Linked DNA regions of Nothobranchius furzeri. The protein of the gene in region 1 purifies or fractionates together with the protein of each later gene. This does not show direct contact. Links are inferred from orthologs where the notes say so. Each region holds a gene or a part of one and is shown on either strand. Other genes may lie near its edges.

Region 1 (7,930 bases):
GTTAAGCTGTGAAATCAATTCATGTAAAATAATCATGGTCAGGAAACCATGATTCATTCTCAGACTATAATCGTACCACCAAAATGTATAATCGTTGCAACCCTTCTCACAGCTGGGAATCGAAACTGTGATCATCTTGCAACAATGCAGCCAACTGTCCCACAATGCAGCTCCAGATGTTTTCATTTTTCTTAGCATCCAGAACCAGCCCTTAGGCTGGAGACCCCTTCCTTAAATCATATTAACTTATCTACACATATAACTAGTTATAATGACAAACAACCTGCTGGTGGTATTTCCCTTCCTAATATTCTGTATAAACCAATCTTTTGAAAAATCTTATTTCAAAGTTAGAAAATGTATAGAACACAATGTTTGTCCATTTGTGCTTTGAGGCGTTAATGTAGACCCAGACTGGGTGACATTTTCCATAAATGCCTGTAATAGTACTTTAGAGCTTAATTCTTCAGTCTGTTTGTAGTTTTGAAATGTAAATATGTGTTTTGTTACTCTAAAGAGCACTTTTATAAAAATAAAAAAGGACAACATAGCGATGATGCGCAACAGAGGATGGAGACACAGAAACAAGCAGATGTAATATATATTAAATAAGTGGAGTCAGTCATGGGACAGAGTAGAGGTCCGTTCAGCTGACACCTGCTGTAGTTGGAGAAGTCTCACCTTTTTCACCGGTTTGTGAGTGGGCACGGCGCTGAACACAGGCGACAGCTCTCCAATGTTCATCTCACTGTTTTTGCTTACGGTCATGGCTGAGTATTTTTCCGCCACGTTTTCGCTCTCTTTCACCTCTTTGCTCGCTTGTTTCACCTCCAGCTTCGTCTCACCAGCTGGGTCTGACATGTTCGAGGCGGTTGTGTAACCGTACCTGCACAGAAATACAAGGTAGCAGCCGCACGAGACAAGCTAACGTCCGCTACTAGCGAGCAACTTGGGAGCAGGAAGAGCGGCTTTTAGATAACGCGTACGTAAATAACATCAATACGTAAGAGATAACGATTATCGGACTTTGATTTGGAGCTGATGAATATCTCAGTTGGGTTGCGTAGGCTGTAGTCGCGCCGCTTCCCTGCTCAGCTGTCGCAACCAGGCTGAGCTGAGTAACTTTGTAGGCGGCTACCAACAAACTACTGGGACTGAGCTGCATTCATGGTGCGTGGGAAAACCAACACGTCCTTTTAAAAAACCCTCTCATTTTTCATTTAGATCACTTACTTTCTCATGTATATCACATAAAGGCAAACGCAGTGTCTTCATACGACCCGTACTATAACATTGAGCTTTATTATAAGAAGAAAATCATGTTCGTTTCGAATTATTGATTTTCATTCAATCGTCTTTTCAAACAGGAAGTGACTCCCCAATTCCACAGAACAAAGTGATACATTGAAGTACACCAGCTTTTTGAAAGCATACCTCTGCTCATGGCTCCTCTCAAGACGTGGAAAAAGATAAACCAAGCATGCATATCCACTTTCTTCCTTTGTTGAAAAAGGTATTCAGGGTAAGTATAGTTCATGGGTGCTGCCACCGTGTTGCATTTTTTAAAACCAGATCGAGCCTGCGTAATCAGTATGTGCAGCTGGTCCCACCAACTTACCCATTCATAATCATGGAGTTTTCACGTTCATTGTCGTCAGAAATTACATGAGGAAGGGCACTCCTGCTGCTGTTATGCTGGGTCTTATTTCCATTGGAAATTGTAGTTCATGTCTGGGAATGCTGACTGACACAACTTCACAGTGTTGACCATGCAAGCTGGGAAATCAGTAGAATTTGCTAGACGTTGGGCCCAGTGACCAAGATCATTAGTTTTAGCAATGCAAGCAACGATAATAAATGTACTGAAACACAGTAGCAACGTGTTTAGTAAGTGGAAAGGACACAAACCTACTTATTTTGAAATAAAAAGGTTTATTGCAGCTATCACAACATTTCACATATGTTGCAGTCAAACTGGTATTTGTGATGGTGTTCATCTGGAATCTTCATAATTTTTAGTCAAAATTCAGTCTTGAGAAGTGTTACCACAGAAGAGGATCAAGGCCACTGAAAAGAAAATGAGTATTCTGACTTTTTGCTCATAATTTTGACTGGTTTTTTTTTTTTTTTTTTTTTTTTTGCTGAGATTTAAAGTCAGAATTCTTAAAAAAATGTAATTCTTAAGACTTCCCTCTCCCCAGCCACTTGAGCAGCTCTTCCGGAGGAACCCAAATGCATTCCCTGGCCAGGTGAGAGGCATAATCCCTCCAACGTGTCCCAGGCCTCCCTTTAGGTTTTCTCTCGGTTGGATGTGCCCGGAAAACCTCACCAGGGAGGCTTCCAGGGCCGCATCAACTGACTCCACTCGATGTGGAGGAGCAGCAGATCTACTCCATGTTGTTTACTTACATTAAAAATAATAATGAAACCTGTCATGCAGGCCTGCAGCACATTCCAAAAGAAAATTAGAACATTTACTTTGGAATGTTGCCCAATGTTCACAATGCTTAGAAGACTGTTTTATTAAAGATACCAGGTGACAATGTTTATCATTGAAAGGGCATCAGTCATCACTGTCTGTCACTTGTGCCCATAGTTGAAAGAATAGGACTTGAAACAGGCTGATCCAGTGGTTAAACCTTTTTCTACTGCTTCAGTGCCTTTTCTAAGATAAGCAAACTGTGCTTTATGCTGTTTAGGTAAAAATAGACTGACTTCGTTGGGAAAAGATGTCTATCTCATTTGTTTTTCTAAATTCTAAAATGTGCTTTTCTGGTTAAAATGCTGTTATTATTTTTCCAAGAACATTGACATGCTCATAAATCTTTACATATCGTGACTTTGGGACATGGGTGACTTGTGCTCAGAAGATCTGTTATCTGTCAGTGAAGTAATACATTTGTAGTGATAATATCACACCAAACCACTTTACACTGGCTTCCGGTAATTTTCAGTATACAGTTAATATTTATAATGCTACTTTTACAGAATAGTTTAATAGTGCGGCATAACTTTGAACTTTTAAACGTTAAAGCAATAATAATAACAGTAATAATAATAATATCTTGAGGATTTTCAGATTCTAAATTTAAAAAAATGAGGGGCCATAATTTTTATTTGGTGGTATTTGGTTAATCATATCTTCTTTTCACATTGGTATTTAATGTCTATATCTAATTCACACTTATTGCTAAGTTGCAGTTTCTGTAATATGATGTTGTTTTGATTTATAACGAACTGTAAATATTAACTTTATTAATGATAATCGAATTTAGGTTGAGTTCTTTCTAAAACGTTTAGAAAACAGCGTCACTAATTTCCTCATGTGGCCATATATGGTATTGTAGCTCACCTCATTTGGCGTTTGAAACAAATCTTTCAAGAGTCAGTAAAATGCCCAACGTGTATTATCGAGTCATCTCGATGACTGAAATGATGAAAGGTATTCAAAAAAGGTATTTAGAGTAGGAGCCAAACCTTTAGAGCAGGAAACATCCCGCCTTGCCCGCTCCCTGCAACTTCCGGGTGAATATATCCGCAGACCAGCGTCTGTTCCGTCACTCCATTTTCCCTCGACCAACCGAGGAGCTCTAACGTGTGGGAGAAGCGTTTTTGCTCAGAGCTGTAACTTCAATCAAAAAACGGTACTGCTTGTTTTAATACATTCATTGTTTATGATATGGAGCTTACTTAGAAGAAACAAATTTCGGGGCGCGTGTTTTTTTAACTACGTGCACATGGTTTCATTGTTCGGGTTGATTTAGAGCGCCTCTAGCCGAGAGTAGGCCGCGGAAAGACGGCAGCCATCTTATTTTTACAGCTATTAGCGCCGACATTTACTCTGCCGAGTTTTTTCCTAAATGTTTGTATATGTTGATTTGTTTGTTTCGGTTCATTGGAAACTAAAGCGAGTTTGGTTTCATTGGTAACGCCTAATTCATGATTTGGTTTCCGTGCTTGCTAATGTTAGCACTTATCGCTAACGGAAACTAGGTCATGTATTCTTGTTCAGCCTGGGGTTGAATTTATTTATTTCTAATAAGATATTAAAATGTTTTATCGGGTCACAGAACACTTTTGTACATGCATCTAGATTAAAGGCCTGTCTTTTATCACATTACTGTGTTTACATGGGCTATATTTTTACCATCCTAGTACGATTTTCTTCATTTAAAACATCCTAGTATGATTTTCTTCATTTAAAACTATCTAACATATCATTCCTAATTTGTGCAACAGGAAGAGAAACAATGCGGTTTTCGCCTAACGGATCTAACTGCTTCCCATTTTTCTCTTTGCTGTTGATCTCAGCTCCAGTCATGCATCGAGACTGTCCCCTAGACTGTAAAGTCTACGTTGGAAATTTGGGCAACAATGGAAACAAGACGGAGCTAGAGAGAGCTTTTGGCTACTACGGCCCCCTCCGCAGTGTCTGGGTGGCCAGGAACCCCCCAGGTTTTGCCTTTGTGGAGTTTGAAGACCCTCGAGATGCAACTGATGCAGTTCGAGAGCTTGATGGAAGGTGAGTGTAGATGTATATTTTGCTGTAAACGCAGAGGGCATCTGAATTAGTTCTGCAGGAGCTAACGACCTCTGCCCTTTGTGATTGGCCACCAGGTCACTTTGTGGTTGCCGAGTTCGAGTGGAGCTGTCCAATGGAGAAAAACGTAACCGTAGCCGTGGAGCTCCCCCTTCGTGGGGCAGGCGTATTCGAGACCGAGATGACTATCGACGTCGTAGCCCGCCTCCCCGACGAAGGTGACCTAAGTGTATTTGATAACAGACAATAGAGATAAATTGTATTTTTAACATTCTTGCTGATTTACTCATCCATCTCTTTCCTGCTGATAACATTGGTGACTGTTGGTCTATCAAAGCCTTGCAGTTTCATCCTCATTGGCATTAGTCATTTAGTACAACCAGCCAAACAGGTATTTGATCCAATTACAGAATTATGCCTTTTAGACAGGACATTGTTTTTGACAATGTAGCCTCTATGTTGAAAGCTGCTTAAGTGTCACGCAAAATGTGACTTTTGCTTCAGACATAAATACTTCTTTGAAGTGTGTACTGTTGTGTGCTTAAAATGTTAAGACTTAAGGTGGCAAAATAGGGCTGTGAATCAGGTTTAGGCAGAAAAGAAAGGGCTTTATTCATAAAAATATGACTTGTTTAAAGATTTTGGTGGATGAAAGTGCCAAATGTGTTGTGAAAAATTCCTTTTTTTTGTTTGAGGATGCTTTATACTTTTTATCTATATTAATAAGAATGAAACCCGTTGCAGAGCCACCACCATGCCTCTTCTCACCACCCTCTGAGTCAGTCAACTAGTCTTCTTTCAGCATCATGTGACTGCTGACCATCGGGCCCCAATCAGCTTGGCTTGTGCTGTCACATGACCCAGGCATGGCCAGTCGTCAGGTTGCACCAGCCCATTGGTTCCTCAGCATGCCGTTCTCAACCTCCTTCTCCTTCAACCTTTAACCAAACGGCAGCGGCCCACATCACATTCCCGACCAATCAGCGTATTATGTTCCCAAAAGTCTACAACCTACCGGCAGCAGCCTTCGGCTTACCAATTAAAGCAGGAATAAAGCCACAACCAGCCCCCATCTGCCTGCCATCTAATCACCTTGCAGCATCCGGCCAGTCCCATTCAGCCAATTCTACCTACCCGGCCGACAGTCTGCCTCCCTTTCGTCATATCTAGCTTGTTGAAATCCAAAAATACTAGTAAGTTTTCCTGCTTCATTCAGTACACTGCAGATTACAGTTTTAACACTGAAGAAACAGCTGGTTTGAAAAGGTTATTTCTTTATCTCATTTATTGGTTTGTCGTTTTATTATCCACTATTTTTCAAACAGGAATGATTTTATATCAAATATCTGGAACGTCATGTTTCCAGAGGTTTTGATATGATAGCTAATGTTCTTTTACTTGATACACACACCATCCAAAACTCAAGCCTTTCTATGACTCAGTCTATGATTGTGGTGTTGGCGGCGACATTTTAACCTGGTTTTTTTCTCAATTTATTTCCTGTGACATATACATCTTTACTAGCCTCCATTTTTGTTTAGGTATTTCTTTTGAAGTGAACCAGTTTCATACAGATGGTGGCCCCTGTACGTTCTTATTTTTCACACACGGGCCAGTCCACAGTACAGTGTTTGCTCTTCTCAGAGCCCAAACCCTCTTAAATTATTAATGGGATTCATTAGACAGTACTTATTACAATTACAAAAGTTACTCATTGTACTGTGGGATAGGTGAGAGGAGATTACTTGACACCTGCCATCTTTATGTGCTAGGTTTACTGCCAGTGGCTATTTTCTGATACATTTTTCTGAGAGGGGGAAAACATTTACTGCTCTTAAATTAGTAAAATAATAGTGGGCTGTGCTGCGAGTCCAGTATGAGATCTACAGGTCGATGACAGCATTTGTTTGGGGTTATAACACTTTGATTTTCCTTGTGCAGATCTCCTCGCAGGCGGAGCTTGAGCCGCAGCCGAAGCAGGTATGTGAACTTTAAAGGGTCGGTCTCGTTCATGCAGGAAAAGTCATGTTGTCACCAACATGATGGTGAAACACTGGTCTGGGTGCTGAACTGTTTATTTAACCTACTAAATCGGAGCTTTATTTATTTTCAGGTCTTTGTCTAGAGAAAGGAGGAGAGAGAGGTCCCTCTCCCGGGACAGGAACCACAAGCCCTCCAGGTCCTTCTCCCGATCAAGGAGGTACTGAGAGCTTTAGTTTATGTCTCAAGTAAAACAAATGTCTAGTTTGTGAGCGCTAGAAATGGTTCAGTCTTAAAACCTGATTTTCTCGTGTTTCTATAGAGTATTCCATAAAGCATCATGTTTTTAAAAGCTTTACCTAATGGACATCTTGTCTTTGCCCACAGCCGTTCCAGGTCTAATGACCGAAGATAAAATAATCCATTAGGTGTAAAGGGAGCTGAAGATGGAACGTTTGTACAGGCTCATCCATTGTTGAGGTGGTTGTCAGCATGACCATGTGATAGTCATTTGTTTTTTTAACAATCATTTTAGTGTCCCTCCTTTTCTTTAGAGTTGCTTTCAGATGCATTGACTGGGTGTGTACATCACCAGTCTGTCATGCCCTGCATTCCAGCGTTAACCTCCTTAAGCTTCAATTTTTCACCAGTTAAATGTTTCTGTGGTTTGACAATGTGGATTGTCTTTTTCACTGTAAGTGCAAACATTTTGTTTTCATAAAGATTTGGAGATGCTCAATTATCCCTTTTTGTGTGAAGCCCACCTGTTTTCAACTTGTATCATTTTGTTGTCCAAGAAGCAAAACTATGACGTTTATTCAGAAGTGTAGTCAACACAAGTCAGATAGTTGACTATTAAGTTTTACATCATTGTGTGTGTGTTTTTTTTTCATATGATATAAACTAGTCTCAAATAAAAATCTGGTTTTGTCAAGAATGTAATGTGAATTTATTTCCCCCCAAATAGTTTTTGGTTTTAGTTTAAAGTTTTGTCCACAAGAGGGCATCAGCTCAGTGTCTCAGAAACAAAGATGCCTCATTCCGCCCCAGTGGTGTCTGGAAAATGGTTTTTGGGGTGGCCAGGTGAGGGCACAAATTAAAATTATATTTTTTTTACAGAATTGAAAAAAGTATAAATCATTTAAATGGCTAACTGGCATCTTTCCATGAGTAAAGGCATACATTTATAATAACATTGGGACTTTTACAGAAAAGAGATGAGGGTGCTCTTTAAAGGAAGTAGATGTCCTTTCCAGGCTAACTCTTAAGTTCGACTTAACTTTCAGTTAAATGGTCATCAAAATAAAGCCTGGTTTGTTTGAATCCAGTGGTCTCATCTGAATTTCAGCAATGTTTTGGAGCATGAACCCTTTATTGGTGAGGACACTGAAACATTAAATCTTCCAACAA
Region 2 (7,854 bases), on another chromosome or scaffold:
CACAATCTCACGCTCTAATCATCTGGATGTCATCGGCATAAATTTAAACTTCGTTTTGTCACAGACTATGCCGTTCAGATCTTCCATGATGCTCTAAGTACAGGTCACCATGTGTGCTACCTGCGTCCTGACACCCGACTTCCCATGATGCACATCTCAGACTGCCACCGTGCCACTGTGGAGTACATGCAGGCTCCAGAGTGCCAGCTATCGCTGCGGACCTACAACATAGATGCCATGAGCTTCACCCCAGAGGAGGTGGCCCAAGAAATCCGCAAGCATCTCCCTCACCTTAAGGTCACTTACAATCCAGACTCTGTGCGCCAGACAATCGGTATGATGATAATTTAACTAATTAACCCTCCCACGGCCCTAATGGGTGTGACCCTGCGAGGAAAGTTGACCATTGAGCAGGGTTGATGGTTTATCCCTTGGGGTTCATGTGGCAGGGGTGAGGAGTGAGCACCACCTCACCCCTGCCACGTAGACCTCAAAGGATAAACCATCAATCCTGCTCCATGGTCAACTTTCCTTGCAGGGTCGCCCATAAAGACAGTGGGAGGGTGAAAGCTGGAACAGTATTGTGAAAGTAACACAGCTATAAGATATTTTGTCACTTTGCAGCTGACAGCTGGCCTGTGAGATTTGACGACACTAATGCCAGGAGGGACTGGGGCTGGAAGCCGGCCTTTGGGCTTGAGGAACTCGTGTCAGATATGCTGAAATCTGTTCGCGACAAGAGGATCATCGAGGGCTTTCCAGTCAGCTAGCAAAACCTTCCCTACAAAGACCGACCCAAGCTCCATGGATGACCTTCTTTCGTTTACCATTGGTTTTCCCCAGCAGTTTCCAGTATTTGTTCCTGCATAATCACGCCAATCTTTTAGAAGTTGATTGTAAATAAAGAATTCTCAGTCAGAACTTCTCAATATGTCATACTCATCTACAAAGTCAGGATTTCGCAGTCTAATTCAGGGAATCATACATTGTTACATATCCTCATCTTTGTTGTTTCTATTTGTTATTGCATTATTTCACTTTACACATGAGAAAGTGCCTCAACTGGGGTTTTAACATATTTTAATGCATGACCACAACACATTGTAGCAGTGTGTGTCCAAGGCAACGTGGACCAGGTGTTCACTGGAATGGCTCGCTCACATCAGTCTGGACTACCATGCTGTATTCTGCCTGTTTCACTGAACATTATTTTGTAAGATGCCAGAGACTATAATGTAAAAATAACACATCACTCAGATGTTATACATGCAATTACTCTTGTTACATATTTTGAAAATTATTTTTAGGCTCTAGAGTGACTTTGGTTCGAAAATAATATGATATGCATTGGAATAAAAAAATGTATAAAATGCAGTGTATGTGGAACTAAGACTTACTAATAATCACAGATAATTCAAGTGTTGTTTAGACAAAATAAACAGACTTTTGTACAATATTTCAAAGATGTGCATTTTGTGGTAAAAATTTAATGATCACAGAAAAAAAATTATTTATTGTTTCCAATATGTGCATAATCCATAAATTATTAGTAAAGAAAATATATGGTTGTTTTTAATGATTTTTGGTGTGTGTGTGTGTGTGTGTGTGTGTGTGTGTGTGTGTCTGTGTATTGGTCTACTATTTGTTTATTTAAGGATCCCCATTAGTCTTCACCATAGTGAAGACTATTCTTCCTGGGGTCCACATCATTAAAAAACATTTACAATAGTACATATACAGTGTAAGAAAAAGAACATACAAAACATTTAAACAAATGTATCCATTAATAAGAAAATTCAGCAAAGATAAAATCATTCAAATAAGAAAATACCAACACCCCCCCCACCCCACCCCACCCCCACCCCCGGCCAGTTAATAACTATAATTCAATTCAATTCAATTCAAAAATACTTTATTAATCCCAGAGGGAAATTGATTAAAAACTAATTTAAAAGCCCACATCAGTCATTTAGTTTTAAGTTGTTATGGATGACCAAAGTCTTAAGAATTTTCTTGAATCTGCCATGATTATTTATTAATGCCACTCCTGGAGGCCGGATATTCCAATATGAAACAGCTCTGTAAATGACTTCTCTTGAGGGCATTCGTTTTTGGCAATGGAAGGGTAAAGGTTACTTGGGAGGCTCTCCTTGTGTTAAAACCATGTCTTTTACATGTCGGTAGAAACTTTGTGAACAAACTGAAAGGTTTATGTGATATCCAAGTTTTCTGCAAAGAAATAATCAGGCTACAGACTAATCTGCCATTTACCTTCATCCAGGACAACCTGTGATGCATCCAGTTGATATTGGTTGATATCTGCTAGTATGTATTGGAATGTCTGTATGAAGATTTGTCACCAGGAGTGTTTAAAAAAATACTGTCTATGTTATGAGGGAGGAGCTGCTCCATGCCAGCCCAGGTCCTACCAGCAGCAGATCTAGGTGGCCACAAATTCTCCAACAACCAACAGCTCCCAAAGAACCAACACTATTCAGCCATCCCAGATGATGGGATGAACCCAACCTGGGCAAGAAGGGGAACCAGCCTGAGGACGAAAGGACACCAGCCTCCAGCCAACGGGAACCCACTTGGGGCTGTCAGTCCTGGAGTCCCAAGCCCAGCACATCATCATCACGCCAATGCAGGTCAGCCAGGAGCCAGACAACCCCATTCCCCATTGGCCTAAACTCCACAAAGGGCTACCAAGCACAGGGGAACCAAACCAACATAGCAACCCTCGCCCCTTGCAGAGGGAGTGTAACTGTACCCCCAAACCATGGAGATGGTGAAGATTCTGACTCCTTGTTTTCTAAATATACCAGTCCTAATAAATGCCACTTAGAGGTTTCATGTATTCAATGTATATGGTTTACAGTAAAGTACTTTTAAATATATAAAAACGGAATAAAAAATGTATGAACTGAATAAAATATGAAACTGATATATTTAGAAATTAATGTAAAAAATAAGAATTGTCAATAAGTGGAAAGAAATAAAAAATGACGCGGGCAAGCGCAGTACTCGTTACATCCTGTAGGGGCTCACTCTGCATCCGGCTGGCCACTCGAGCTTCACCAGAGGGACGCACTTCTTTCTCCGCAGCGCTTGAAACAATCGATTTTCACCGAGAATGGACGCGGGATTCTTCCGCGTGAGTGTTTGAAACAAACATCTATCATTTTTATAAATTTGTGTCGCGCTGAATGTTAATAAATTGGCATTAATATCCCGTTTACAGTTTGGTCGAGGGCCACACTTGATAGAAGCGGTGCGGTAATGGCTCCGTCTATCAACTGATTTTGAACGATTCTGCTATTTGTAGTCAGTCCTCTTTTCAATGTAGCTAATTTGGAAATTAGTATTGTTTTTATGAAACTGATAATTGTATTATTTTGAGCCCGTGTTATGTTATTTTACTAACGCATCTCAGCATTTTTGGTATAATTTTCATATAGTCTTCTCAGGAATTAGACAGGTCCGTGCAGCTAAATTGTTGGCCTTGGCTTAAGATGGCGCCCGGTGTTGTGCCTAAACGAGCTAGTCACGACCATGTTACGCCAACGTTACTTTGGTACATTTAACTTTCGGCTTATTGAAGACTGACACCATTCAGACCTTTAAGAGCACATTTATATCGACGCTGTTATCGTTGACACCGCTTTCTTGCTAATGTAATCTTCCTTGTTAGTACTTAGCAACCGGCTAGCTAGCTTGTTGCTAGTTCAGTGTCATGTGTAACCCGAATACACTAATTTCTATCTGTTGAATATTTTAGGGTACGAGTGCGGAGCAGGACAACCGTTTCAGCAACAAGCAGAAAAAACTACTGAAGCAGCTGAAATTTGCAGAATGTTTGGACAAGAAGGTATGTGATCTCCTGATGGTGATTAAACTGTTATTCTGGTTATTTCTCATCATATAGCATCCAAACATGTGGTGGTCAGAGGGACCGGTAGCACCTCATTTTTATCATTGAGCCCCAGGACAGTTGTGGCTACATTGTAGCTCATCACCATCGGCATGTGAATGTGTGTGTGATTGGATGAGTGATACACTGTAGTGTAAAGCGCTTTGGAGACCTCTGACCTATTCATCATATCCCAGACAAACCGTAACAATCAGAGGTTTTTCTGTTCTGAATGTTAAATGAAAACAAAAATTTTCTTTTAGGGCCGCTGAGACATATCTTACTTCTCCATATGTAATCTGCTTGTGTACGTCAATATTTTATTTTGAATAGGATTTGTTGTAGAGGTTGGATTTGTGGCAAATACCCAAGTAAAAATCCCAAATAAGTCTGTTCCTTGTGTGACCTGACATCTGTAATAGATATAACCCATTAATGTGACTATTTTGCATAAATGCATTTGGTAATTGCATCTGAGTGCCTGTGTAATGCTGCTTATTCCAATAAAATGAGTATAAAGATGATCACTTTTTAAAAATATTGACTTGCCTGTTTTTTCTCAGGTGGACATGACCAAAGTCAACTTGGAAGTCATCAAACCGTGGATTACCCAACGTGTGACAGAGATTCTTGGCTTTGAGGATGATGTGGTCATTGAGTTCATATTCAACCAACTTGAAGAGAAGGTATTGTTTTTCCTCTGTTTGTTTTATTTTTTTTCTGTCAGAGCTGTTGTAATTCAGGGCATTGCTTAGCCAGCAAGAAGGGATGTTAGTAAAATAAATGCACATCCTAGTCAAACTGAGAATGAATGGGTAAAGTAAAAAATAGTTGGTTTATTTGTGTAGATCTTGTTTTGCTGTTATGTGACAACGTGCCTTTTTATTTAGCAGTCTTCTAATGATGATGTGATTTATGATTTAAAAGGCCTGAACCAATATGGATGTTATACCTTGCATCAGAAGTATAGCACCAACATCTAATTAGCTCTCTCCTGAGCCCAAAGTCTCTGAGCCCAACTCTCCCTTCATGATGCAGTGTGTGTTTTGAGGTGAGTTGTATATAGGGATCATCTACATCTTGTCAGTGAAAGACACAACTGAACAGTTCCATTATCATATTCTCCGTAGGCATTTTTAGATGCCAACTACCTTCATTAATCCAGAAAAGGGTTTAGAAAATGCCATGGTTTATTTTTAAGTATAAAAAATAAAAATTTGTTTTAACCCTGAAAAGTATTGTCTCACTGACCACCCCTGATTGCAAGTTTTGCATCAGTTGCACTTCTGTTGAGTATAACGTGCATTCTGTTGCACTTTTATTTAACTGCACTCGAGAGTTGCTGCGTTTCCATCAAGTTGTCTATTTTAAACAAATCTCATAGATGTTGACCTACATGAGGTACATGCTGCATTTCTTTGAGTTAATAAATGAAGATGTGTAGAAAGAATATTTTTCAGTTCTGTTGGGGAAGGCTGAGAATTAAAAACGCCAGCAGCCAGAAACAAATAAAACAAGCTAAATTAGATGCTTCTTTTGTTTCCCTTTTTGCCAAAACTTTTATTTATTTATGCATGGTTTTCCCCAAATAACTCTGTTAGTTTATAATTTTACAGGATGAACAGTTTTATTCTAATAAACCTGAAATATTTCATAAAACTCAAAATAGAAATGAAAAATATGTTGATGGAAACCGTTTATGGTCTGTGTTGAAGGCGAGCAGAGTGCATTACTATTGCAAGTAGAGAACTTCAACCACAGGAGGTCAGCACAAACGAGATTTTCTACAGAAACAATACTTTTCAGCTTATTGCTATAAAACCTGATTTGTAATCATTTCAGAATATTCATTTATGTCTCTTCTTTACCATGTATGTTATTTTATTTTTAAATACTTTCTAGTTTTAGACTTTTTAAAAACTTTTATGATCCAGTGGTAACCTCTTAAGCATGTGAGACCTCTGCATAGTGACCAATAACTTGCAAATATAACATTTTTTGTTCTTTTGCTAAATCAGCCTGAGGAATAACGTCAGAATACTTAAGTTCCCAAAGTACCTGATTGCAAGTTTTGGCATCTATTCAAACTGGCCTTCTTTTGAACTTTGGCTCTTTTCTGCTAATAGAAATGTAATTGTGTATAAATGATACTAGTATGATGTTTACATAATTTCTATTCTATTTTTGTTTTTTCCTAGTTCTTAAAGCTAACTGGGGTGAAGTGGATTTTGTGATAGAATAGAGATTACAGTTTGGCTAGTTTTAACACTTGTTTTAATAAAAAATAAAGTTTGTGTGTAACTGTACTCATTATTGCTTGTTCGTCTCTTGCAATTTAGATAAATGATATAACATTAAGCTCATGGTGGTTGAGTCTCAAGCAGTAGGGAGGCGGAAGCAAGCCAATGGAGCTCCGTGCCCACTGATCCCACGGGACTCACTGAAGACACCGGAACTGTACTTGCAGTGTTGGGTTTTGATGCACTCTGTATTGTGGTTATTTGTTTAACCCCTGAAGTGTAGACTGTGGGGAGACTGGGGCAAATGGGGCGGGGTAAAAAGTAGAGCAGTAGTACAAATATGATCACAAAATGCTGATTATTTTAAAATTATTTAGGGATTTACAACAGAATTATTGCATGCAGTTTTTTGTTTACATTGCTAGAAATGTCTCCCCTCAGCTAACTTGCATTCTCAGTTTCAAGAGTTCAGTACAGACTGAGTAAATAATTAATTAAAAGTTTCTGAGTCCAGTATTGTAGACGGCATTGTGTATGATTTAGATCTGGTTAGCTAGATTATCCCAGGTTTAGTCTAGACAGGGATAGATGGTGGGAAGCCCCATGTGTGGGACCCTGCCTCCTTTTTATGTTTTCTATTATTTCAACGGCTTTGTCTCTTTTTCTTTCCCCCTTTATTGTGTATGTTGCAGCATCCTGATAGTAAGATGATGCAGATCAACCTGACAGGGTTTCTGAATGGCAAGAACGCCCGTGAGTTCATGGGAGACCTGTGGCCCCTGCTGCTGAGTGCCCAGGAGAACATTGCTGGCATCCCGTCTGCTTTCCTGGAACAGAAGAAGGAGGAAATCCGACAGAGACAGGTGATGCGTCTTTAGAACCTCAGAACTTTATATGAAAGTGCACTTCCTCAGACTTTACGGGATAAACAGACACTATAAATGGAGTAAAAAGAATGCATGTAAAATTTTATTTTATCCAAAATAAAATCTTCATAAAAAACAAATTCATCTTATTCAATAAAATGTATTTATTGCCACCCCTATACAACGTTGACAATGTAATTAATCAGGTAAATAATACGTTTTAATCCTGATGGAGAACGTTTTGGAAAACACAAAATTTTACACTTGAGGTACATTTTATTTTGAAAACGGCAGCTTAGTCCGAGTTGTCCATGTTTGTTAGTATATTATTCAGCTATAGTTTAATATTTGACAGATTGAACAAGAGAAACTGGCTTCCCTGAGAAAGGTGGATGAGGACAAGAAGGATAAAGACACCAGAGAGAGGGCTCAGTCCAAGAGCCCAAGAAGGTGGGAGGTTTTTGTTTTAAATGTGAATCAAACTTCTTCTGTTGTTAAATTTACTATAGTGACATAGATTATCCCAAAGGTATAACATGTTTGGAACTAATTATTGTTTGATCACGATCACTGGGAAACATCCGTTCATATTAACGTCTGTTCTGTTCCTTTGGTCAGGAGGAAAACCAGGTCACCATCACCACGACGAAGGTCGCCTGCCAAACGGGAAAGAAAACGCAGCCCGTCACGCTCCCCAAGACGCAAACCCAGTCCGCTCAGTGCAAACTCACCCGCCCCACCTCTGATGCAGTCTTCCACTAGAGCCTCACAGCAGCTTGTTGAAGCTGATACTTCAGAGAAAGAGCCGACTGAGCCGGTTATCCAAGAAGCTTCTTCT
Region 3 (7,922 bases), on another chromosome or scaffold:
ACCTGTTGCTCATTCTAAAGTTCCTGTTAACTGTGTTGGAGAGGAACATAACAACTAGGAACAAAGTTTTGAAAGCGCAAGAGGGTTAAGGTTAGGATGGGGGTGAGGGGAAGGTTAAATAGCAAAAGTGTAAATGTGAGAATTCTGTGAAATCTCCGTTTTACCGTGGCAGTCGGAAACCGACACTCTGGCACAGCGCGTCAAAAACAAACACTTGGTCACCCAGTGTCATTTTTCGCCGCTTTGGGTGTGAGATTGAGTTGGTTTTCTACGTCCAAAGGTCTTTTGTTGTCCTTAACTTCAAATGGTGTTTTACTTTTTTGTACTCTGGTTGCTTGTCTCATGGACGTAATTTTTTTTTTGGGGGGGGGGGTCATGGGGGACATGTCAATTGGGTTGGGTTGACATGGGGGACATGTCCCCCCCAATTTTTCCAAAGTCAAGTTTTGGCCCCTGCACTTTTTACCATCCAAAAACAATATTACGCTATATTAAATTGACACTGGTTGAGCTATAGGACCAAGCCGAAAACAACCGTTTGTGTTGAAGCCTGTTTCCCATTAGAGCATACTGTAAAGATACGCCCCCCCCCCCCCCCTCCTCCCCTTCCCCCGTGTCCCCCTCACTTCTAAAGTGAAAATTACGTCTTAAAGTTGAAATGGAGGGTTGGGGTTAGTGGCTGTTTCTCCTTCTCTGATTCTATTGAGCGCAGAACCTCTCACAACAGTGGTGTTCTGTTTCTAAATACGCAAGTGTGTATTGAATGGAGGACCTGAGATTGTGCAGTGGTTCGGCAGACCGACAACTGGATGGTCCAATAGTTGTTTTCATTCGAGCCGTGTTATTAGCAGAGGTTTTTAGACAAATGCGAGAGAACACCTTTATAAAAATTTTTTAACTCCACAAAATATTTATAGCTACAGTATACTATGTTAGAACGTAAAGAGGCACAAAGAAAATGTTTTAAGCTTATTTGTTTTCCACATTTGCTATAGTAGCTTTAAGGTAATCACAGTGGTTGTCCATCCCTCTATGACCACAGTGGACCAATCTTCTGAAGGCTACTTTCAGCAGGATAATGCACCATGTCACACAACTCGGATCATCTCTAACTGGCTTCTTGAACAAGAAGATGAGTTATTTCAGCAACACCAAGAGTCACAAGATCTCAATGCAGTCCAGACCTTTTGGGATGCTGAACAGGAGACTAATTGATTTAATTGTGATGCTATCTTCTCAATATGAACCAGAATCTCTGTAGAACATATCTAACACCTTGGTGAGAAAAGGCAGTTCTCAAGGTTAAAGTGGGTCCAACTCAGTAAGGTGTACCTGAAGTGGCCAACAGATGTACAGTAGATGGATTTTAAAATGCATTTTCATATATTCTAAAAACTAGTTATGAAAAGTCAAAGATTTGTGGTGTTCCTTAACTTGAACCTTTTTGCTTAGAAAATCAGACATCAGCTGAGTTTCTCACTGGATCCAATTAACAAAAATAACCAATAAAACTCAGTCCCATGGACTTGAGTCGACCAAAACTTAGTACTAGCCGGTGAGGATCCGAACATGAAGCTTCGGGGGGAGAAAAACAGAAAAACGTGAATCAGCGCGCACTTCAAACACGTGCGCCTTCGAAATGAACACGTGTGTGATGTGTGTGTTTTTGGTTTAAGGGGGGTTCGTATTCTTTTGCTCGCTTTTTCTAACGGAGAGCTGAAGTGAAAATAAACTCAAACACACTCCTGACAGACAAGTAAGCGTTACACAATACTCATGATGTTGAACAAAGTAGAAGGTGTGCTAAAAAATGAGCGTTTCGGACTGGTAAAGGAAGTTCTGGACTGACGGGATTAATGCTGCGTTCAACTTCATCGGAAATCTTTGACGTGGAAGTATTTGAATCTTGTCTGAACCCCAAGCTGCGTGTACCAAATACTTTTTGTGATATTATTAGATATGCAATAGTGGATATGACTCCACTAAATAAATAAAAAATGCTCTAAAGAACTTTCCAAAAATTTCTCAGTAAATCTTTGAAACTACCTTTAAAGTAAATGACATTTTAGTGTGGCTTATACAAGTTATTTTAGGAACTTTTTAAAACTATACTACACAATATTAGCAAACTATACAATATTACATTTCTCACCAGGTCCAATAAAAAAAGTCATATTGGTCTCAAGATTTATTTTATTCATCTTATGAAAACAAACTATAGGCAAAAAAAATCCATTACCTGATTGCAAATCGATAATGATTCAATGAACCAAGAGTGAGAGAGAGAAAATATAAACTATGAATGTTAAGTATAATATGTAATAGCACTTGGAAACTAAGACTTGTCACTTCTGCTCCTGCAAAGAAATTTGTCTTTGATCTTAATTTATGCAAAACATCATTATCAAGTGAAATTAAATGTAGTCTAGATGTCCATAAAATAACATTCACATGAAGCTGTTTTAACGCACCAAAATACTTTGATCTCGGCAGCGTTCCAACTAGCTGCTAGCTCATCAGTCTTTAAGGGTGTAAACTCTGTTTCTCTGCTGTTCAGAAATCTATTTTTACTATCAATAACTTTTACACAAAATTTTATTTATTTTTATTTAACCTTTATTTAACTAGATGAGTTGATTGAGAACTCATTCTCGTTTATGGCGATCTGGCCAAGAGGCAGCAGCAACAGACACAATTACACCAAAGAGCAACATACAGATAAGATGAAAACAAACAAGATAAAAAAAAATGTTAGACATAAAGACAATGGACTGTTCGCAGTATGCACAAGCAATTACATTCGACTTAAATCAGTCTTTAAGTAACATAAACATAATTCAAGATGGCCAAATGATTCAAAGAGAATTATGAGCCTTAAAACAACCAAAAAAAACCCATAAAACTCCGATACATTTTCGATTCTCAAAGAAGTTACAGACTGCAACTTTGCAGACACGATTTTTTACGAATAGCTCCTGAAAGCATCATCCTGAAGCGCGCTCCCTGCGTTTACGTGGCTACTCCTCCTCCACAGCGTACGTGCGCGCACTCCTCTATCGCGTGGTAGAGATCATCCATATTGCTGCTAGTGGTGGTGATAAGGTTGTAATCCTGAGAGGCCCACTGACACGTTTCTGTAGTTTTTACATGTTTTAACTCGGCGCTGACTGCTCCGCGTCTTAGGCTGAAGCTCTTTTGGTCGAGGGGCGACAGAGGAGCAGCAGACCGCGCGGAACAACTTCACCGTTCCCTGAAATTGAAAGCTAAATCGGACCAAAAAGGGGGAGTTAATAATCCTGAAGGGGGAAGAACGACGGTTGGTCGGAAATGGCCACTCAGGTGGAGGCTCTCCTGCCCGGCAACCCGCTTGCCACAGCGGAGGAGCACGGTAAAATGATAGACGGTGAGCCGGAGGAGTTGGAGGGCAGTCGGGATGAGGGGGCCCAGCAACTGCAGACTGGTGTCACCGATAGCAGCTCCGTTCAGGGAGGGACCACCGGCGCGGAGGAGCAGACCTCCAAACGGGCGGTAGAGCAGAGCAAAGACGGAGGTGACAGCGAAGGCAAGCAAAGCGAGGAGGGTGTAAAAGACAACAGCAGGAAGGAGTTTACCGAAGCTCCCCCGCCCAAGGTGAACCCGTGGACTAGGAAAATGAATGCGGTGACCGTGGTCAGCGTGAACGGACAAGCGCACACCGGTCGGTACCCTCCAAACATGTTCATCTCTCAGCTGTCACTCTTCTCTTCTTGGTGTCTCTATGGTCACGTTTGGTCGCTTTCATCCGATGGCTCACTTAGCTTTTATTCAAATAGCCAATTAAAAAGACTCCCAGCGCTGTCACTCTCATATTTGGAGTTAAACCCCCATCCTCCCCCTCACAGTGAAGGCTATTCTTGGGGTCAATGGGTGGCAGACTGTATAAGTAGGCACACCCTTTGAAAACAATTAAAATACTCCAAATATTCAACGATTTGACGTCGCTCTATGAGTAGTGAGTCATAATGGCTCTTGTTTACTTTTAGCATGACTTAAGGTCTAAACAGTCATCTTCTAACACACTTTGAAAGGTGTACTTTACTAATTAAGCTCTTTGTGCTGTGGATGTGAATGTTTGTGTCATCACACCACACAACGTGCAGTCGTTTCCATTCGGGGACCGTGGATTCTAGCATTCTAGTAATATGCATTCTGCTTGCAAACACTTGATACTTTATTTTAAAGGGGACATGCTAACAGCTCTTGTGTCTTCGTGCTTTGCTCATGTATTGCTGCTTTGATTCTAAACACACGCACGCACTCCCATCGGCTTAGCCGAGTGTTTAGACTAGTTTTTGCTTGTGTTTACATGTTCGTTTAGAGCAAACCCATCACGCCAGCCATTATCTGACTAAGACGCCCTCATTGCATCAGTTAGCAGACTAAAACTCGAGCCAGTACGGATTGTGTAGCAGCTCAGCCGGCTAACAATAGCACACAGACTCCCCTTTGGCCTAGTCTGTCGCCAAACCCTTCCCACTCAGCCTTGCTTCAGTGTGGCTGCTTTCCCACATCTAGCTACGGCGAGAAAATCAAAACAGTTGCTCTGCCTATCTGGGATCCGTTTTCGATGCAATAAAACCAAACATTTACTCGTTTAATAGCTTAAAAGAAGCAGGATTGTTGTGAGGCGTCACGTGCTCATTCCACGTGTTCCCCGAGAGAAAAAGCATGGTGCTAACTAGTTAGCCGAGTTACTGCATCGAGTCTGAAGCTACAATTTAGTTTAGAGCATAAAATTTGAGACAGTCTGCCTGTCTAGTGGTCACAGAGCCAGCTGTCATGTCGTGTATCTGTTGTCAGGACAAACCGAGGTCCTGTCTGTTGGTTCACACTGCTAGCTAACGTTAGCTTGTTAGCAATTCAGCAGAGTCATCATTACCTCTACTTAAGGACGCTGTAGTTACTATTACCTGTTTCTTTTGGATACCTTGTGAAGTTGTGCTACAATAAAAACCGACTGATCAAAACTAACAAAAATGGTGATTGTAGAGAAAAGTCAGTGTTAAGGTGCAGATACATATGGCTAAATATCTAGTGCTGGGCGACACCACCTCAGCATTATTGTATCCCAAGACAACAAGATTTTGCTCGTTTAAATAACACAAAACAAAAGTGATTTAAACTGTTAACTCTCCAGGAGTACTCATAAATGTCATCTATGAAAAAAATGACCTCACAATTCAAACGCAAATGTAAAAAAAATAAACGACTACATAAGCAAACTGGCTGTCAAGAGTATAAACATGGTTTGGATCAGCACAAAACCTCTACCAAATCATAGTAATGACAGAAGCTCAAATCATGCACTGGTCTTTATAATAAACGTTTTTATTGATTGATCATCGTAGTCATTTGTTTACTTCCGAACCTTATTACAATTCATGTTTTAGCTTCAAGAAACACTTTTCCTTGTTTGTTGTGTAGTGCTTATGTGGAGCTTTGTTTTGTGGTTAAACCACTTTAATTTTTTAGTATTTTCAGGTTTTAGCTAACATGCTGTAGCTGTGACCTGCTAGCAGCCTGGATTTTCTGTTTTTTGTGTTTGTTCCAGATGGGTTTGTTTGCAGCTATGAAGTACGTGTAACCTTTGCAAACTTCATGGTACAGACTGTACCCAGGATCTGAGCGAATTGGCTCCAAACGCTGTCACATTAACACAGACTGGTTGGGCCAACCAGGCAGTAGAGGCACTCTTTGTTTTTGTTGTATTTGAAAGCCAAAAGATGTTAAAATGCACATGATGACCTGGTTTGTTGGTTCTGTGTGCAGAAAAGTTGTTCTCAAAGGTTTTATTTTTCCAAATGGGCAGCATTTATTTAGAATTTGAGTGATTTTTAGAAATACTGGTGGGTAAAATTCTGCACCCTGTTGTTTTGCTGTCAACCATGTTCTATGTTTAGAAACGGGATGTGTAACATTACCAGCTGCAACTGTCAGCTTTTCCCTCACACACTTCATTCAAGGCTGCCTTTGAAAATGACAAATAATCTGTAATATCCCATATTTATGTTCATTTGGCACAAAATTATTGAAAATGTGTGCATGCCAAAGATGTACAGTTGTGCAGTTTTTCTGCTCTGATCAAATACACATACATGGAGGAACTAAAGTATTTGAACACCCTGCGATTTTGCAAGTTCTCCTAATTAGAAATCATAGAGGGGTCTGAGGTTCACACTGTAGGAGCATTCCTACTGTAAGACAGCATTTAAAACTTTCAGGAAATCACATTGTATGTATTTTAAAGAATTTATTTGTGTTGCACATAAGGATTGTAGCCCACTCCTCCACACACACAGATCTCATCTAGATCTGTCAGGTTTCACGGCTGTCGCTGAGCAACAAGGAGTTTCAGTTTCCTCCAAAGATCTTCTAGTGGATTTAGGTCTGGAAAGTGTCTAAACCACTCCAGAGCCTTGATATGCTTCTTACAGAGCCACTCCTTGGTTATCAGTCTGTGTGCTTCAGGTTATTGTCATGTTGGAAGACCCAGCACGACATATCTTCAATGCCCTTGACTGAGGGAAGAATTTTGTTTCTCAAAATCTCACAAACCGCTGCCTCATTCATCTTTAATGCAATGCAGTCGTCCTGTTCCCCTGCAGGAATGTTCCCCCAAAGCATAATTTTTCCACCTCCATGCTTTACAGTAGGGCTGGTGTTCTTGTGACCCCCCCCCAAAAAATAAATAAAGCACTGCAAGTTAGGGCTGTAGCGAAGCCTCGACGAAGTCGACGGCTCGATTCTAAAAATTTGTCGACGTCAGATCCGGAAGTTGACGCACCGCGCCCACTTGTTGCATCCTCAGGAGTTTGTAAATAGAGGAGGAATCTGCCTGCTTTTCCTCTAGTTCGCCTTCTTCTCCGCCTTCACTAACATCTCCGCCAAATACCGAAGACCCGGAACAACGTCCGTCCTCTACTAGATTATTTTCCTGTTTTGCCCCTTCGTCTCCCGGCAACGGACAACAACTTCCGGGGTCAGATGCGCTGCTTCGTGCCTACCGCAGATGTAGAAAATCACTGGGAGCGTTTCTCCCTTCATTAAGGAGCTTCTTTCAGACATGAGGAGAGCTGTTTTGGTGGTAGCAGTCTCTCCTCCGTGCTGGTCTGTTTGCTGCTGGGTGTTTTTGGTTTATTTAAACTTGGTAACTTGAACTTAATGTTGGTAAAGCTACTGTTAGCATCTTCGCTAACAGCTTCTTGCGTTGGGATAAGCTGTTACGTTTTGGTTTAGAGTTCATCTTTTTTGTGGTGTAGATCTCCCTTTTATTACATTTAGAGTGATGTGGGTTTTCGGTTTAGTGTAAAATATCACCTGAGTTTGGTTTAACCCGTAAGACCACTCGCCTCACGCACATAAGTGACCAAAACAAAGCAGCATGGAGACACTCCATCTTCTACCACCTCTCAGGCAACAGCCTGCACTCCCAAGTTCTACACGTCACCAGAACATAACCAACCAACACAATAAAAGCAGTGTTATACAAAATGGAAGGCCTGTAGTGTTTATTCTCTTACAGTAATAATTTATCAATTTTTTTGAGGAATTTATTTGAGATTTTCTGGTTTTTGTTAATTGTGCAATAGAAAAATAATCATTAGATTAATTTTCTAAATAGTGATTAGAATAGTCGACTATTCAATAAAATAATCGTCAGAATAATCGTTTTAAAAATAATCGTTTACCCCCAGCCCTACTGCAAGTAGAGTTCATACCCAAAAGCTCTGTGTTGGTCTCATCTGGCCACATGACTTTCCCCCATGCTTCCTCTGGATCATTGGCAAACTTCAGATGGGCCTGGACATGTGATGACTTGAGCAGGGAAACCTTCCATGCAATTCACGATTTTAAACCATGACCGTGTGGTGTTCTACTGACAA
Region 4 (8,104 bases), on another chromosome or scaffold:
TTAAGTATCAGGCGTGACATTAAAAGCAGATGCTTTGATGCTCCACCTGAGAGTAAATCTGTAAGGCTTGTCACCAGCATTCAGACATCAATTCTGTTTGCTTCACAGCCAGACAGGACACACACACACACACACACACACACACACACACACACACACACACACACACACACACACACACACACACACACACACACACACACACCCACACACACACACACACACACTCACACACACACACACAAAAGAAAAAGAAAAGGGAATTAAACTCTTCCTTGCTACAAACAGATGATTACTGCTTGGGCATTAAAAAAAATTGCCACTAAATTCAATTCAATGTCTGAAATTACACCTACCCTAAAATGGGAGTTTTCACATTTGAATGTTAGCGCTTCTCAATACGCTTTGGAAAGCAACAAATAAGAGATCAGAATAAAGCTTATACTAATTATTTAAAAGAGTTTAATGAAATTTTAAGTATACCTGTTCTCAGTAAGGAAGATAAAGTGCGTTTGCACTCATTAAGGGGAAAATTAGACCTTTATTTCCAGAAAAAGGCAAGGGGGGCTTTTATAAGGTCTCGGGCTAGATGGTTGGAACACGGAGAAAAAACTCAACCTTCTTTTTTAATCTGGAGAAAAAACGTGGAGAGGCAAGAAAAATATCTACTTGATATATTAACACTTTGATGGATAATGGTCACTACAGTGGACAGATAATTAAAATTGTTATTTATTTATTTTTGCTATAAAGCACAGCTGTTGAAGACTTTATTGCATTTGAACCCCTCCATTTGTACTTCAGTAAGTCAAGCCAACATATTTCATGTTCAGATTGCACACTGTCCACTGAGGTGGACATGTAATAAATTATTTGTAAATTACATTTTACAAAAAATATGTAAATATGAAATTTGTTTCATTCACACCTAAAGATGAATGAAAAACATTGTTTAAAAAAATCATGGTTGAAGATTTCATAATTCATGCATCAAAGGGTTAATGACAATCTCTCAAAAGATGAAAATGAAATTTCTTCCTTTATCTCTAACTTTTATCAGAAGATACTCATCCTTGTTTGTGCCTCAAGCCTCTCAGGATTTTTTTGATTGTATCTCCCCATTCATTCCTAAAATTTCCGGGGAGAATTGTGAGCTTTGTGAAAGTCAAACTACGCTTGAAGAACTGAAGAAGACTATTACAAAAAAGCCATCTAATAAAAGTCCAGGCCCCCATGGGTTGCCTTATGAATTTTACCAAACCTTTTGGGATGACTTAAAATATATGTTGTTAGAAGCCTTCATGGATTGTGCCAAAAATATGGAACTGACTGTCTCTATGAAGCAAGGTGTAATATCCTTAATTCCCAAACCTGATCTACATTATTTGGATAATTGACGTCCTATAACGTTACTAAATTCAGACTATAAAATACTTGCATCACTATACGCAAATAGACTAAAATTTTGCTTGGAAGAAATTATCTCTGTAACGCAGTCAGGATTTATGAAAGGTCGACACATCTCTAACAATATCAGGCTTGTTTTAGATATTTTAGATTATGGACATTTGTTTGATGAAAAGTCATTGATTTTATTTTTGGACTTCTACAAACCTTTTGATACTGTGGAGCACTCATTTATTTTTGAGGCTTTACATTATTTTGGGTTCAAATAATACTTCAGGAACATAATAATCACTCTTTACACTAATGTTAATAGCTGTGTATGTCTTGCACATGGTACCTCTCCTCGCTTTGATGTGAAGCGTGGAATAAGACAAGGGTGTCCTATTTCCCCTTTCTTATTCTTGAAAGCTGCTGAACTTCTTAATCTTTTCATTGTTAACTGTGTGAATGTAAAAGGTATTAAAACAGGTCAAGATGTTCTAACCATCAGTAAGCTGGCCAGTCATACCAGCCTTTTTCTTCAAAATGATCTTCAAGTCCCTGTTATTATTAAAGCTTTAAACAGGTTCTCGGATGCTTCTGGTCTCACAGTTAATAAGAGAAAATGTGAAATATTAGCCATACATGATTTAGACACCGTATCAATAGATGGCATAGAGGTTAAAAAAGAAGTTAAATATTTGGTTATCACATTAAGCAAATCCTCTAGTGAAAGAATTTCAAAAAACTTCAACCCTAAAATTGAGAAATCTAAATCTGTCTTTAATTGCTGGCTACAGAGGGATCTTACCATTATAGGTCGTGTTTTACTCTCCAAGGCTGAAGGATTATCCAGGTTAGTATACCCAGCTTTATTTTTATATGTTGATAGGAAAACCTGTGCAGCTATTGATTCACTCTTATTTAAGTTTATTTGGAAACATAAAAATGAATATGTAAAGAGGAAAACACTTATTAGACACATTTCAGAGGGGGGTCTTAATGTATTGGATTTCCAAACTATCAACAATATATTCAAAATTAATTGGTTAAAACATTGTCTTTCACATAATAATGAACCATGGTTTTTTATTCCCAATTTTTTTGGTTAACAAATGTGGCGGTTTAAAGTTCTTGCTTTCATGCAACTTTACCTCAGATAAACTGCCTATTGAACTGGCCAACTTTCACAAACAAGCCCTGGACACTTGGAAAATGGCTTTCAAACACAACTTTTCCCCTCACACATGTACTTTATGGAACAATCAACATATTGCTCACAAGAACAAGACTCTGTTTTACAAAGACTGGTATGATCAAGGTGTTATGTTTGTGTTTGATCTTTTGAATGATAACGGGACCTAGCTACCTATGATGAATTCATCCAACGAAAGGGGTTCAACACATCTCTCGCTATGCACTCTAGAATCCTCCAAAGCATTCCTGTTCATTTACTGTCTCTTGTCAGAGCTCCTGTTCAGTATACACCTTACACAGGAAGGATTCCTGCACTGTGTCTTGGTGGAAAGCTTCTTGAAGAGCACTCATGTAACAATGCTCACATTAGAGCCGTTTTCACCTCTCTATATAGTCAGGTTCCAAATTCATTACATCGTTGGAGGGTAATGTTTCCTGACATCAGTAGCAATGCCTTTTCTGAGGTTCAGAAATTTTTTGTCCCCAATAAAGTTAAAGAAATACACTTGAAAATCTTACATAGATATAATCCGTGTAATGAATTTATTAATAGATTTAGACCTGATGTGTCCCCTTTATGTTCCTTTTGCAAAACAGGTGTTGAGTCTCTTACTCATTTGTTTTATGGTTGTCCTTTAGTTGTACAGTTTTGGAATCAATTGTCTTCATTAGTTTGGGATTCTCATAAAATATTGATTACTTTTAATGAAAGTATGGTCTTATTCTTAAACGTTAAATGTAACAAGGAAGTTAACAATGTAATAAAATTGCTGTGTCTGTTGGGTAAATTTCACATTCATAAAGTCAGATTTCTACAGACTATACCAAATGTAACTTTATTTTATATTGTTCTTAATTTTTTTCATGAGACTGTACGTAGAATTAGTAAAAACAAGAAAGCTGTGAAAATATGCAACTTGATGAATTCTATTATGCCCCATATTACAAGGTAATGTATTAGTGGAATTTTGTTTTATTTTATGTTATTTTGTTTGTATATAATTATTTATGTTTACTTTCATTAACAGTGTTTTCTTTTTCTTCTCTGTTTGTCAATGTATCACACCCTGTACATCGATGTTGTTTTGTCAATATATTATGTCTTGTCTGCTGCAAATGTGTCAATAAAGATTGTTTAAAAAAAATTGCACCGTAGAAGAAGAAGCGCGCTGAATTGTCGCAGGATTCAGCGCAGCACCACCTGCGGTTGTTTGCTGCAGTTAGCGCCATGGCGGCAGTGCGCAGTTTACAGGTTAAATCAGACAGCGGTTCGGATCGCTCGGAACCGAACTCAGACTCCGAGTCAGATCGAGATGCCCGTGAGGCCGAACCAATGGAGGTGGAGGAGGGAGAGCTGGAGGCGGAGGACATCTCGGTTAACCGCTCTCTGAAGGAGCTGCTCCCGGTAAGTTTCCGACTAGGCCTCGATAGACCGGGGACTCGCGTGTGCCTCCCGCCGGCCGAGCAGCGGGAGGCGCCGGCGCTGAAGCAGCGGCTCTCCCCGGTTAGCAACCGCGGTTTCTGTCTCCGTTTAATGGCTTTGAAGTCAAAGGTTTCGTTAATGAAGAAAAATCACAATTTAAAATCTACTTGTTTGTAGTCCGAGAGATGAATAAAAGCCAGGAGTTTGTTTGTTTCTGTCAAGGGTAGATGACACAAACGTAAACAATACAAGGTGAGGGCTCCCCCCGGGAAAGCTCCTCAGGCTGATTCTGGATCTGCTGTTTTCAGGACACCAGCCGGAGGTACGAGAACAAGGCCGGAGCGTTCATCACCGGGATAGACGTGAACTCGAAGGTACCGGAACCGGACACACCTGAGCTGGAGAAACACTCCTGGATGTTTTAGTGCATCCTGCGAGCAGGTCTAACAAGCTGAGGCTTCTTCATGATTAGGAGCACATTCTGGGAAGGGCGAGCTTTCATCTGAGAACTAGTTGTTCGAGCTTCTCCTCCTGTGCCAGGTACAGCGGTGCTTCTCATGTGACACACAACAGCTTGCCATACCTCATGATGGATGGGAGCAAGGATCAGCAGTGACCACCGCTCAGATAAAACCACGTCATTTTAAACATTCCAGATGATGAAGGCTCAGACTAACAGATCTACGGCTTACTGGTTTGAGCAGGGTCGTCAGTCCACAACCCAATCCTCCTCTGACCGCTGGGTTAGGGTTAGGTTGCTCTAGATAATCGCCACCCATCTTCGAGTTGTCTGTTGGGAACGCCGTCTTCTCTGGAACAGCAGCTGGTAGTTCACTTATGCCCATGTAGCCTCAAGTACCCAGAATGCAATGCTGTGATGTCACGTACCACCTGTACTTCAGCGACAGCAGGTGCTGGTTTGTTGTTTCTTGTCTGTTCCTGTTGATTGTAAATGTTGCTCTCATAAAGGACAAGCTCAGGTCATTTTGTGAAATCTGAACATAATCAGGAAACACTTTTAGCTCATATTTGATCATTGTTAATGATTTCAGTTGTAAAAGTGATCTTCAAGTCTCGGGTATCTGATTGTAGGTTTTGTTTGTCAGGAAGCGTTTGAGAGGAAAGAGAAACGAGCAAGACGTTTCCACTTCCGCTGTGAGGAGAGCGTTGGTCAGAGGAACGTCTTCCTGGATAAAGATGCCATGAAGAAAGGTGTGAGCCGGTGTTCTGTTTCAAATCATTAACAGCAGTCTGCTTGGGTTTATGGAACTGTAGCTTTCTTCTTCTGTGGTGCTCAGCCATCTTTAAACTGCGGATGGAGGCGATCCATGTGAGTGGTGTGGACGACATGAGCACGCAGGATGTGTTCGGGTACTTCAGGGAGTATCCTCCAGCCCACATTGAGTGGATCAATGACACTTCCTGTGAGTAACGAACATGAGAGTAACAAAATGCGTTCTGCTCCAATCAGAGCAGAGGTCCAGGACAGCAGTGCTGCTCAGCAGCATCTCACCTGTCCTGTTGTCGCCTAGGTAACGTAGTTTGGCTGGATGATGACACCTGTATCAGAGCTCTCATCAACTCCAGCCAGATGCCCACACCAGAGGTTGTTGTCACGGAGACGGAGTCCAGCGAGCAGCCGGGCAAACGGAACAAAAGTGGGTCTGAGTCACGACTGAACTGAACATGTCATGAAGGTGTGGTGCATTATAGGTAATCTAATCTGTTTTAACATCACAGCTCGACGGGTTCGAGGGTCGGAAGAAGAGGATGATGATGATGATGATGAAGAGGAGGAGGAGGAGGGAGAGGTGGAAGAGGAGGTGAAGAAGAATGGTGATGAAGAAGTGGACCAGAACAGGAAGGTGGATGGTGGCCAGGTAGAGCGTTTACTGTGATGTCACAAAGTGACTCAGCAGTTTGTGTGTCACCAATGACTGACTCAGCGGTTTTTGTCAGGTGGACGACTTGTCAGCAGCTGAGAGGGAGTCGCTGCTGAGGAACGAGCTGAGACCTGCCATCAAACCGTTTAAAGGAAACAAACTGTTTCTGCGCTTTGCTACACAAGGTCTCATACACACACACACACACACACACACACACACACACACACACACACACACACACACACACACACACACAGTCTCCAAAAGCAAGACTGCTCGGACCACTTTTATTCAATCCATCAATCAATCAAAGCTTTATTTATAAAGCGCCTTCCGCAACCCTGTCAGGAAGCCCAAGGCGCTGAACATGGCACAGTAGAAGTACAAATATAGTGAATAACAAATGCTACCCGGCCCGGACCGACCCGGTACAGATGGGAACGGCCCATATCATATCTGGGTGGCCTGGTATTTTTCCGGGCCAACCAAGGCTCATTCTCAGCCCTCTTCTCGAGGGGGTCTGCTTCAGGCCGACCAGGGCCAACACGCCCACTGCTGACAGCAAATTCACACCTTCCATTAGAGCAAGCCTCTGATTGGTGGGTAGAATCAGCCCACATGGTCTTAAGACAAGGATGTGTGGAATCAACCGGGCCAGGCTGGGGCCGACTGGGGCTACCCGGCCCGGGCCGACCCGGTACAGATGGGAATGGCCCATAACTGAGGGTGGCAACTGGTTCCAGAGAGATGGTGCTAGGACTGAGAAAGCCCGGTCCCCGCGAGTACGACACCTAGAACGAGGGACAGCGAGCAGGCCTTGTTCAGAGGAGCGCAGAGCGCGTGATGGGGAATGTTTGTTCAGGAGAGTGGCCAGATAGGGGGGAGCAGCACCCTGGAAGAAATGATAAACAAAGACGAGGATTTTGAATTGTGAGCGATAGCAAACCGGAAGCCAGTGCAGGGAGGCCAGAACCGGACTGATGTGGTCCCGTTTCCTGGTCCCTGTCAGGAACCTGGCTGCGCTCTTCTGCACAACCTGTAGGCGACGCAGTGATGACTGGCAGGAGCAGCCAGGTGGTACCAGCTCCAGCAGGGCGCTTGAGTCACCAAACGGGATCCAGGACTCACAGATGCAGAGAAAACCCAAGCCATGCTGAATAAAAAAATCCAGAAGTATAAAAGTTTTGTTCAGCACAGACCTGGCATTGACCAGACCAAATCGGGTCTGCGGCGGGGCTGCAGCGCCGAGATCGCGCACGAGCACAGTCTCCTTTAACTCTGTGCCCGTAACCGAGCGCAGATTCTCCCAGCAAACCCCAGTCTGGCGAGATCTTCGAGCCGATCGGCCGTGGCGCGGTGCCAGTTCACCCTCAGAGCCGGCCAAGTTCCCTGGGCAGGGTGCCGAGTAATCCAGGAGACATCTCGGAACCACCGGGTCAGAAGCTGGGCCGAATCGGGCCAGCCGCTTCTTCAGGGGCCCAGGCCGACGTCTCACGCGCCGGCTACCTCTCTTTCCCCGTCTTCTCCGATGCTTCCTTCTCGAGCTGGGGCGGACAGAGGGCCGACACATCACGGCTTGGGGGGAGAGAGCACACGGGCAGTCCGACCAGCAGCGCCATCCGTGAGGTTCCCAGCTCGCGGAGCCCGCTACATCAACGGGAGGATGAAGCCTCAGCAGCGCGGCTCGATCATAAGTCAGCAGAGGATCCACACCTTTCAAAAAAAGCATCAGAGACAACAAAAATGCATAAAAGCCAATAAAAGCCAGTAAAAAGCAAGGTACCACTGCGTAAAGAGGACGAGCAGCTTGCAGCGTGCACCCGCGCGAGCGCCATCTTAACTCTCTCTGGAGATGCAGCGGACTTCTCTGCGCTCTTTTTCCATGCTTGGAAATTTGCTCGTGACATCACACTGTCCTTGTTCTCAGTCACGTCCGCTTTCCTTAGGCCAGGGTTCCTGTGGGGTTTTAGAGTCTAAAAAGGTCTAAAATTCATAAATTTAAGTCCAGACGTAGGGCTGCGCAATAAATCGAAAATTTATCGTTATCGAAATTTCTGACTTTTATCGAGATAAAGTTTCCCACGTCAATAAATTTGATAATAAAAATGAAAGATGTGTGTAGGTTGGCAGCGCTCATGTCGCTTTAAGATGCTGTACCACCTTGGGTCAGTAGAAATGTGACTCAAACATGTGACAGCCCCATCTAGTGGAC

Evidence for each region. The genes of interacting proteins can lie anywhere in the genome.
Region 2: the proteins of srsf3b (region 1) and srrm1 purify together in Homo sapiens (affinity purification with mass spectrometry; 3 studies listed by BioGRID and IntAct, with this or other methods). This does not show direct contact. The link is inferred for Nothobranchius furzeri from reciprocal best matches to the Homo sapiens genes SRSF3 and SRRM1.
Region 3: the proteins of srsf3b (region 1) and larp1 purify together in Homo sapiens (co-immunoprecipitation; 3 studies listed by BioGRID and IntAct, with this or other methods). This does not show direct contact. The link is inferred for Nothobranchius furzeri from reciprocal best matches to the Homo sapiens genes SRSF3 and LARP1.
Region 4: the proteins of srsf3b (region 1) and ncbp3 purify together in Homo sapiens (co-immunoprecipitation; 3 studies listed by BioGRID and IntAct, with this or other methods). This does not show direct contact. The link is inferred for Nothobranchius furzeri from reciprocal best matches to the Homo sapiens genes SRSF3 and NCBP3.

Annotation. Positions count from the first base shown.
Region 1 is NC_091743.1:46,709,896-46,717,825, reverse strand, and holds srsf3b (serine/arginine-rich splicing factor 3b), read left to right. Parts: upstream 1-3,508; 5' UTR 3,509-3,644; intron 3,645-4,311; 5' UTR 4,312-4,319; coding exon 4,320-4,522; intron 4,523-4,617; coding exon 4,618-4,758; intron 4,759-6,481; coding exon 6,482-6,520; intron 6,521-6,653; coding exon 6,654-6,740; intron 6,741-6,907; coding exon 6,908-6,935; 3' UTR 6,936-7,457; downstream 7,458-7,930. Other genes in the region: S-adenosylhomocysteine hydrolase-like protein 1, read right to left, coding at 682-861. UniProt on the Homo sapiens protein: Splicing factor, which binds the consensus motif 5'-C[ACU][AU]C[ACU][AC]C-3' within pre-mRNA and promotes specific exons inclusion during alternative splicing.
Region 2 is NC_091758.1:35,725,466-35,733,319, reverse strand, and holds the start of srrm1 (serine/arginine repetitive matrix protein 1), read left to right. Parts: upstream 1-3,026; 5' UTR 3,027-3,133; coding exon 3,134-3,154; intron 3,155-3,778; coding exon 3,779-3,868; intron 3,869-4,473; coding exon 4,474-4,596; intron 4,597-4,834; exon of another isoform or gene 4,835-4,961; intron 4,962-6,842; coding exon 6,843-7,013; intron 7,014-7,371; coding exon 7,372-7,466; intron 7,467-7,634; coding exon 7,635-7,854. Other genes in the region: tdh2 (L-threonine dehydrogenase 2), read left to right, coding at 65-334, 625-770. UniProt on the Homo sapiens protein: Part of pre- and post-splicing multiprotein mRNP complexes. As a component of the minor spliceosome, involved in the splicing of U12-type introns in pre-mRNAs. Involved in numerous pre-mRNA processing events.
Region 3 is NC_091750.1:54,200,347-54,208,268, forward strand, and holds the start of larp1 (la-related protein 1), read left to right. Parts: upstream 1-3,094; 5' UTR 3,095-3,327; coding exon 3,328-3,697; intron 3,698-7,922. UniProt on the Homo sapiens protein: RNA-binding protein that regulates the translation of specific target mRNA species downstream of the mTORC1 complex, in function of growth signals and nutrient availability.
Region 4 is NC_091750.1:26,048,484-26,056,587, reverse strand, and holds the start of ncbp3 (nuclear cap-binding protein subunit 3), read left to right. Parts: upstream 1-3,276; 5' UTR 3,277-3,811; coding exon 3,812-3,988; intron 3,989-4,314; coding exon 4,315-4,380; intron 4,381-5,112; coding exon 5,113-5,218; intron 5,219-5,304; coding exon 5,305-5,430; intron 5,431-5,538; coding exon 5,539-5,664; intron 5,665-5,746; coding exon 5,747-5,886; intron 5,887-5,965; coding exon 5,966-6,074; intron 6,075-8,104. UniProt on the Homo sapiens protein: Associates with NCBP1/CBP80 to form an alternative cap-binding complex (CBC) which plays a key role in mRNA export. NCBP3 serves as adapter protein linking the capped RNAs (m7GpppG-capped RNA) to NCBP1/CBP80.